Linked DNA regions of Yarrowia lipolytica. The protein of the gene in region 2 interacts with the protein of the main gene of each other region in a pairwise test. Links are inferred from orthologs where the notes say so. Each region holds a gene or a part of one and is shown on either strand. Other genes may lie near its edges.

Evidence for each region. The genes of interacting proteins can lie anywhere in the genome.
Region 1: the proteins of YALI1_F01897g (region 2) and YALI1_B09279g interact in a protein complementation assay, tested with the Saccharomyces cerevisiae proteins (2 studies listed by BioGRID). The link is inferred for Yarrowia lipolytica from reciprocal best matches to the Saccharomyces cerevisiae genes SEY1 and GOT1.

Annotation. Positions count from the first base shown.
Region 1 is NC_090771.1:927,190-930,548, forward strand, and holds YALI1_B09279g (uncharacterized protein), read right to left. Parts: upstream 1,506-3,359; coding exon 1,487-1,505; intron 1,411-1,486; coding exon 1,384-1,410; intron 1,129-1,383; coding exon 1,064-1,128; intron 806-1,063; coding exon 503-805; downstream 1-502. Other genes in the region: YALI1_B09299g (uncharacterized protein), read left to right, coding at 2,766-3,359.
Region 2 is NC_090775.1:185,875-191,487, forward strand, and holds YALI1_F01897g (uncharacterized protein), read right to left. Parts: upstream 3,851-5,613; coding exon 560-3,850; downstream 1-559. Other genes in the region: YALI1_F01849g (uncharacterized protein), read left to right, coding at 1-56; YALI1_F01929g (uncharacterized protein), read right to left, coding at 5,215-5,613. UniProt on the Saccharomyces cerevisiae protein: Cooperates with the reticulon proteins RTN1 and RTN2 and the tubule-shaping DP1 family protein YOP1 to generate and maintain the structure of the tubular endoplasmic reticulum network. Has GTPase activity, which is required for its function in ER organization.

The DNA of each region.
Region 1 (3,359 bases), on a different chromosome or scaffold from region 2:
TGCGAGCGGGAGGACAGGCGACAGTTGCAATTGAACCTGCAGAAATGATCCAGACTCCATACAGTTGACATCTGGTCCCGCTTGTCCTCTTCACGTCACGTGTCCTTTGTAGGAGAGGTGACGTTGTAGTCACTGTATTACAGTACATACAGTGCAATACAGGTACAATTGTACTGGTACTTGTAACTAACAGTACCGTGTAATGTAATTGCTGGTCGTAGCACACCGGCCCCCTTCACGTGACCATCTCCGTTTCCAATGCTCTTCCCCATCCGCGTAGTGCTCGATTGCCACTGCGCAAGGTAGTAATTAACTCAATTGGCGATGACGAGATCAGCAACGGAATTTGGAGAGGGTAATATGGAGATAATATCTACGTCATAATAAGAGATCCAAGGCAAACGACACCGGCCTCTACGAACAAGCACCATATCTATACATCTATGCAACTACTTGACCTGGATCCACCCAATACCCCGTATACCGAGTCCGGTATGGCAACTTAGACGGGGAGAATTCGGACTCCAGCAAGTCGGTCAATGACGGGAGCCACGGCGGGGTGGCGGAGAATAGGCCCAATGACGGGCATGGACCGTAGAAACGCGACAATGACGGCGAAAAAGTCGCCAAATAGCGCCAGAATGCCCACCAGCTCGATAGCAAAGCCAATGAAGGGCCGTTTGATGAGAATGAGGAAAATTCCCAGCCCAAACGCTATCGATCCTCGCAGCTTCTGGCGTCTCGCAAAGAACGCCAGCGTTTTCTGGGGTCCGATCAGCAGGGTGATTCCGATCAGAAAGAGAATCTGGGTTAGTCATGGGTGTAGAGGATGGGGGAGCTTGTCTCTACAGTAGCGCATGGTAACTGGAGATCCAGAGATGGGATCCAGAGTGTGAGAGCCAGATCCAGCTTGAGAGTGTCAAGAGTATTTGGAGATCAAGAGCTAGAGACTACCTGGATCCACAGAGCTGGAGATCCAGAACTTGTCTCAAGATGACCCGGTCCATAGCTTGAATCGGCACTCTCAGCATGGATCACTGTAACCAAAATCCACTATACTTACGTTTCCAAACGCCATAAGAGCGGAATCGAAGAAGGTCATGATTCCCAGAAAGATGAAGAAGATGCCTTTGTTAGTGTATTCAAAACGGTGTGGAGATCACGTTGTATATCGACTGACGAATGTGTCGTAGATCGAGTGAGTCGTAGATCGAGTGTCCCAACATAGGTCGAGTGCTTCAGTCGTAGATTGTGTGTCTGTGTGCGTGTTATGGTTCCATCCCTTTTCCAGTCTCATATCTCGTATCTCGCCCGCGTCACACGTTTCTGTCGTTTCACTGCACCGCGTAACGCGTCTCATCACCTCATCACCTCATCACTCACCTCCAGCCGTGAAGGCCGCGCCATATTCTGTGTTAATTCCTGTTCGAGTCGCCTCGATGCACCACCGGCACCGTCCATCCTCCCCGTCCTTCGGCATACTCACTTTGCATGTCGCTGAACATTGTGTTGGTGGTATTTTTTTCTGGTGCCAAAATGTGTGAGATAAGATCACAAGTCCAAAATTCAAAAAGTCGGGTGGGATGACAGTGCGCACCAGCGTCAGGCGATGATGGTTCCCGGTGACACAATGCACGTGGTAATGGGCAAATAAAGGAGAAGATGTGGGAGAAGAAGGTGGCAGAAGGTCACAGGAGATATATATGACGTGTCACAAGCACAGCTACAGCTACAGTACCAACTACAGTATGTACGTATCGTGCAAGCATCGTATAACGATCATCATACTCTCCCACAGTGTATAAATAGCACGACTCTTGCACAGCCTTACCCCCATCAATTATCATTACAAGCTACTGTGAGGTCCACCTGCCAGACGTTGTTCAAGCTTAAAAGCCGTCTGTCAAGTGGATCATTGCGAGCGCGAATGTGAGAGAGTGGGCGGATGTGTACCGTGTTTCGAGCTTTTTTAGTCGCGAAGGACCCGGAAGGGAATGAGAGAGGAAGGGAATGAGAGGGGGAGGGATGGGAAACACACACAAATGGATTTAATTGGTATATTTTGGTTGGATTGGGTGGATTTGGGTGGGTGTGTGACAACCTGTGATGGTCAGACCATGCCTGAGCTGTTGATAGGGGATGGCATGTAGAGTGAAAAATGAAAAATGAAAATGAAAAATGAAAATGAAAAATGAAAATGAAAAATGAAAATGAAAAATGAAAATGAAAAATGAAAAATGAAAAATGAAAAATGAAAAAAAAAATTGAAAAAAAAATAATAAAAAAAGAAAGAAAAAGTGAGAGATATATATATAATGAAAAAAACACCAACGTCAAGATGGAGAAGTGTTGAACCACCGGTACTGTACTTTACTGTACTTGTTGGATAGACACCTCGCATCACACCCAATCCAGAAAGACCCTCAAGAGTCTGAAGTCTGCTGTTTCTGTTCATCTCTTTTCCTGAATGGCTGACCGTAGATCCTACACATACTTAACAATATTACTTAACAGTAGCATTAGTATCCCAACTAATTATTAATAACTTCAACACGCTGAATATATCGGCGATAAAATAGCCGAAAGGGCCGATTTGCCCGCAAAACATCACAAAAACCATCTCAGGCGGCCATTACTCTCTTTGTCTCTTGATTTTCCTACCATTATACACCCACAAGCATTGTACGATACCGTACTCGTACTGCAGTTAGTGCCCATCCATTGCGCATCATGTCTTTTCCATCACACTCATTCAACCAACCATAATGACTCCACCCATGAATCCGGATATGGACAAGATTCTCCTGTTTGGAGACTCAATTACGCAGTACTCAAGCGACCAGGATCTCACCTTTGCACTCGCCCCGGCCCTTCAACATCTGTACCAGCGCAAAATGGACATTCTCGTCAGAGGATACTCGGGCTACAACACGGACCAGGCGGTCCAGTTTTTCCACCACATTTTGGAGCATGAAAAGGGAATCAAGCTGGTGGTGATTTTCTTCGGGTCCAACGACAGCGCCACCAACGAACAACATGTTCCTCTCGACCGATACAAGGCCAATCTGGAGAAGCTGGCTCAGCAGGCGGTGGACCGCGGTATCAAGGTGATCCTCACGGGTCCCGCGCCCCACGACGAACTGGCTCGAAGAGAAATGTTCAAGGACGAGCCGGGCGTGAACCCGCGGTCGTCACAGCTGCAAAAGAGGTACTCCGAAGCCGCCTGTGAGGTGGCTCTCAAGATGGGTCTTCCTAGCACTAATCTGTGGCACGCTTTTGCTACCGACGCTGGATGGGAGCCCGGAATGCCGTTTCCCAGCACCGTTGAAGGGGAGGGTAACGAGCACGAAACCTCAGTG
Region 2 (5,613 bases):
GTTTGGCGGGTCTGGACATCTTTGACGATGATGATGATGACGATGACGATGATTAATGAAGCGCGTTATGTTTTACGCAGTGCGAGAAGCCTGGGACTCGGAAAACTTCGAAAATGGGTGTGCTTCGAGTGCGTAGCACGACCAGCGCGGGATGACTATTGCACAAGCTATCAAACTACAAGTAGGCTTGTCGTCATTTCAAGGAACTTGTGCTACTACTTGTAGTAGTATATATCCCCTATTAACAAGCAAATGATGGCAGTAGACTTCATAGTTATAAAGTGTAGAAGATGTTTAAGGGCTTAGTGAGAACGATTGATCGTTTGTATTTTTAGTAACTTGAACGGACGATGCTCTTGGTCGTGTCAATATGACAGTGTCTACAAGTGGAAGACGCAGACAGTCTTTAGCTCGATACAGCCAAGTCTGTCCTGTTTCTGCAATTTCTCCAACTTAGCACATCGACACTCTGCAGTCGTACAATTGACTCTACAGGTGCAAAAGCAGCTGGTGCTTCGCACTCATCATTCCATCTGGCAATACAATAAATCTACTCTACTTACAAGTCCTTGAGCTCAACATCATCTCTGGACGAACCCACAGGAGCCTCTCGCTCCCTAGTTTCGCCGGTAGGAGCCTCGTTCAGTACCTGCTTGAGCTTGGCCTTGGCCATGTCCGTGGCCTCGGCAATCATGGTATTGGTCATGTGAGTCAGAGGACCCCACAAATGCAATGTGTGGATGACGTAGGCGGCACCAGCAGCCACCAGAAGGAACATGAAGTAGACTGGCGATCGCAAAACAGCCATAATCTCGTTCCAACCCAACAGAAGCAGCAGACCATACATGTAAAGAGGAATCTGGGTAGTGGACTGAATGGTGGACCGCTTGGCCTCAAGATACAGACCCTCAGCCTGCTTCTTAAACTTTTCAATCAGCGACGCCTGTCTCTTTGGGGTCAGAATCACTGCAAACGCAGTCTCGTCATCGTCGTCCTCGTCATCCTCAAGAGCAACAGTAGGCTCAATAGACTTCCCAGAGCTCAATTTTGCAGTCGACAACAGTGGCATAATTTCCAGAGCCTGCTCTCGCGACTTGGCAAATGCGCCGTCGATATCATCTCCAGGACGCCACACAATGGGTACTCCATTGGCATCGTATCGGAAGGACTCCTTGAACTTGTTTTTGAGACGGCTGAGAACTTGCTCTTCCTTGGAAAGTTCCTTGAGCTCAGCACCGAAAACAGCCCAGGCCTCCTGCTGGATCTGTTTGAGACCCTCGGCAGAAGTTTTGGGTGAACCAAAGCCGAAAGAAAACGCACTGGGGGCGGAAGGCGAATAGTTGGGGTCAATCTTCTTGATGGACGCATTCAGAAGCGTTTCGAAGGACTCCAGAATTCGGTCCCACACTGTCTCATCGGGCTTGTTGAGATTCTCGTCGAATTCCTCGTGGAACGAGCTCTTGAACCGTTTGGCAGACCGCGAAATAAGCCGGTCAATCTCAACCTTGCTCTTGTGGTCACGCAGAGTGTCCAGCTCCTGTTCCAGAGCAGCCAGTGTGTCGTCATACGAGAAGTGCGACGAATTGGGCTGGCCAATGGCAGCAGTCACCTGCTTGGCATTGTCGATGAAATGAGCATGGGCAGCTTTGGAGGCTCGAGAGAGGTTTTCGCCAAAAGTGAGAGCAGAAGAGGACTCCAGAGCGGCGTTGAACTGTTCCAGAGATTCACGCTTCAGCTGGGCGAGATACGACTGATACACCTTGCCCAAGTCGTTGTCGACGCGGTCCTCCAGCTTTTCAAGAGTCGCGGAATACACCGAGGGAGTGTATCGAGACGCCTGGGAGTCATACTCGTCCACTGTTTGTTTTCGAGCCTCTCCCATGAGCCCTCCGAGCACCGCAGAGGCCACAGCGCCACCAGAAAGCTGATCTCGGATTTTGACTAGCAGAGAAAGGAAGATATCGAGCGCGCCGGCAGCGATTTCGTCGCATCGGAACCGCGCAACCAGAATCTGCTGCGTGGGCAGATCCAGATCCTTGTTCTGCTCAATCTGGTCCCAGACCTGCTCGGCGTAGAAAGACCATCCGTCCAGAGGCACGTTTCGGTGGTAAACGGGCTTGAAGACATAGTTGGGGTCCTTGGGCACAGTGAATCGACATGCCAGCTGCTCCACGTCGGCGTAGAACTCGTTGGGCTGCAGAAGCTTGTGAGGTAGAGCTGTGAACTGCAAATCAAAGAAGTCCTCTAGTTTGGCATGCTCCAGACCTTCGGGCTTGTTAATAGAGTCCCAAAGCTTACCCATATCCGTCTTGAGGGTTGTAGACAGGTTGGCTAGAGGAGTAGCTCCAATGTGGTCTCTGATGACAAACATGATTAGCGACCTGTTCTGAGAGGTGGCAAACAGGTTGAGGTTGACCTCAAACACAGTCTTGAGCAGTCCCATGTTGGCGCCCTGGTAGAGACCAATCTGATGTTCCCAGATGTTGACAATGAGCACTTCGGAGGTGGCGAGAGCGAACAGAGCCGATTTTCGCTCAAAGTCCTGGTCCTCACCTCGTTCTCTACCATCAGTTCCCTCGACGTCCATCACAAGCACTCCCGAGTCGGAACAATCCTGGCTGTGAGCCGAGTTGGCTGAGTGGGGAGCCTCGAGCTGAGCACGGGCCATCCAGATACCCTTTGTGGTCTGTTGACGAGCGGTTTCATTCATGACGTCGAACTGGGTGCCAAACAGGGCATTGAGGAGAGTCGATTTACCGGTGGACTGGGAACCGAAGACGGCAACTACATGGTAGTCAAGACCAGCACGGTCAAGATGCACCTTTTTGAAGTAAGAGGAGACGTCTGGGTTGAACTCCTTATTTCCGTCAATGAGTTGGAGCGAGGGAATACCGGCGTAAGAGCCAGGTGTCGACTTGGCAGACTTCTGGGAGGTAGGAACTGCGTGGGAGGCAGCAGGAGTGGGAGCAGCCTTGTGAACGGGGGAGGAAGCGGGAATGGACTTCTCAGCGGGAGAAGACACGGGCTTTCGTTCAACAGGCTTGTGCTCTCTCTCCACGGGCTTGTGCTCGGACTTGAGTCCCTCAGGAACAGGGGCGGCAATTGGCTCCGGAGCAGGAATGGGTTCAGGGGCAGCAATTGGTTCAGGGGCGGCAATTGGTTCAGGGGCGGTCACAGGAGCCACGCCAGACTCTCTCACGGGTCTAGAGGCGGGAGGAGGAGGAGCAGGGTGGTGGTGGGTGGTGACGGGTGAGTGGGACGAGTGAGACGAGCTGACAGAGTGGCTGTCATGAGAGTCGTAGCCGGAGACGGGAACTCGAGAGGCCGGAGGTCGAGACGAGGGCACAGGGGGTGCTCCATGGGACTGGGAAGTCATCTTGTTGACACTCTCACTGCTGCTTCTTCCGAGAATATCGTCTTTGGTGAGGAGAGGCTCGAACGAGTCAGATTGACGGAACGTGCTTGCAGATGGACTCGCCGCAGCTGACGATCGATCAAACGATCGCTCCTTCTCAAACGACTTCTCGTCAAACGCCATGGGAGGCGGCACCGTGAAGGGGTTGGGGGGAGGCACGGAATCGAGATGGTTTCGGATCATCTTTTCTTCGGGCGAATCATTGAGCGATGAAGCCAGTCTATCGGTCTTATCGCCCTCGAACGAAAAGGCGTCCTCGATCTCTTTTCGAGACGAAGAAAAGTCGTCCATGTTGGCTGTTGTTGTCTTGTGTGGGGTGCTGTGTAGCTCGAGTTGGAACACGTTCACCATAGAGCAATAAAGTTGAGCAGCACGTGCAATGTGCAGGTAGCTGTAGGGGTATGAAGGGAGAGGGGGAAAGAAATACAGCACCATGTGAATGTGATTAATAGCCGGAGCAGCAACGCCAATCACGTGGCTTCACGTGGCGTCATGGGGAAATCACGTGACCCTACATTTCCCTTTCTCTCATACTCGACAATCGCCGCAACATTCCCTCGTACTTGTAGCTCAGTCTCAACCTACTTACTGTACATACTGGTGTGAGCACATACCACTAACAAGCAACGTCCAAGAACTTTAGACGCGGCGCCAGTTTGATACGTGAAAGGTGTCAGATGTAAGTGAGTGAATAGGAGGCATAGCGGGGCTCAGGAGCAGTTTGAAAGGTGGCTGTGCACACTTATATAGGTTCAGGCATTGTGTTTGTGTAACAGAGGACCCACACTACATCCAGTGAACCACTCTGGCAAGTCACGGGTGTCATGGTTCCCCAAAACATCTGAACAGCGCACAGTCTAAAAACGGGACGAAATGAGACCCAACCATATGTGAGACAATTTGACGAAACAGTATACTGTACTTGTAGATTGCTATAAATGGATGATTGGGTACGAGCTGAGCCTCTGGCTCATTTAGAGACAAAAGAAATGCAATGATCAACGAGTCTCAACAAAAGGGGGTATGTACTGTACTCGTACGATGCAGTGCAGGTGGGCATACAACACATTTGTTATTTGTTCTGCCCAAGGGCTTCATCAAAAAAGATTGCAGCACCCAGGATTCTCGTATGGTCTCCCACTACAATACTAACTAGGCTCTCTGGTGCTTGACTATGGCTAATCGGACGGGAAGCCGTATTTTCACCAGGATATGGCCGCAACCGTTACAAAAAAAACGGCGTTGAACCCTTATATTAGACCATATAAGTCACGTGTGTAAATTTTTAAAATGGGATTTTGGCAGCATTACATGACCGGATTGAAATTTTTTAAAAAGTCACACGTTAGAACAGAATCCTCTCTATCATTCTATGCCGTAATTGTCACAGTTTTTCCAGTAACATCTTGTTTTTGCAGCAATTAACATATCAACGACGCTATAATCGACAAACATTTAGTGGAGAGTTAAGTGGACAATATTTCAGACTAATAGAATGCTACAGCTTACGGCAGGGTGCGTAATATGGCTCGAAATACCCGGTATTACGACTTTTCAGTTTCCATAACTATTATTATTTGAGATCTCAACTAAAACTACCTGGTGTAGTTAAGAACTCCACCTCAACATAGCTGAGCACTACAACACACAACAACACACTTTACAGCACCTTTATAAAATGCTGTGATCTCCACACCCTTTGGATGACTACCACCTTGTCTCACAAACGTCCCGACTCTCCTTACCCGGTATCTACTTGTTACCTATATAAATAGTATATACAGCATCGATTCCTCCAATCAATGTTTGAGGACAAAGTCGATGGTGGAATCGCCCAGTCCGTCCTTTTTCAAATGCTCCCAAGCCGCCTCGTACACGGGTTTGTCTCTACCTTTACCTCTGGTTTTGCCCCTTGTGTTTGCAGTGGGATTCTTCGTTCTCTCACAGTTGCCGATCACATTGAACAACATCCGCATACGGCTCTCTCTGCTGGGTCTCTCCTCTACAGAAATACTAAGAGTGCGTAGATCTGTGCCATCAAAGGCTACCCACTCTTGAATAAGAGCTAGCGCCTCTCTTGTGGCATTAGGACGGTTACTGTTGAGTACCAAATGAACCTGCGTCTCTGCAAATGAGTCAATAACATGCTGGTCGGGTGAAACTCCTCCTCGAGCCATAAACTGCTGGTATTCCCGTAC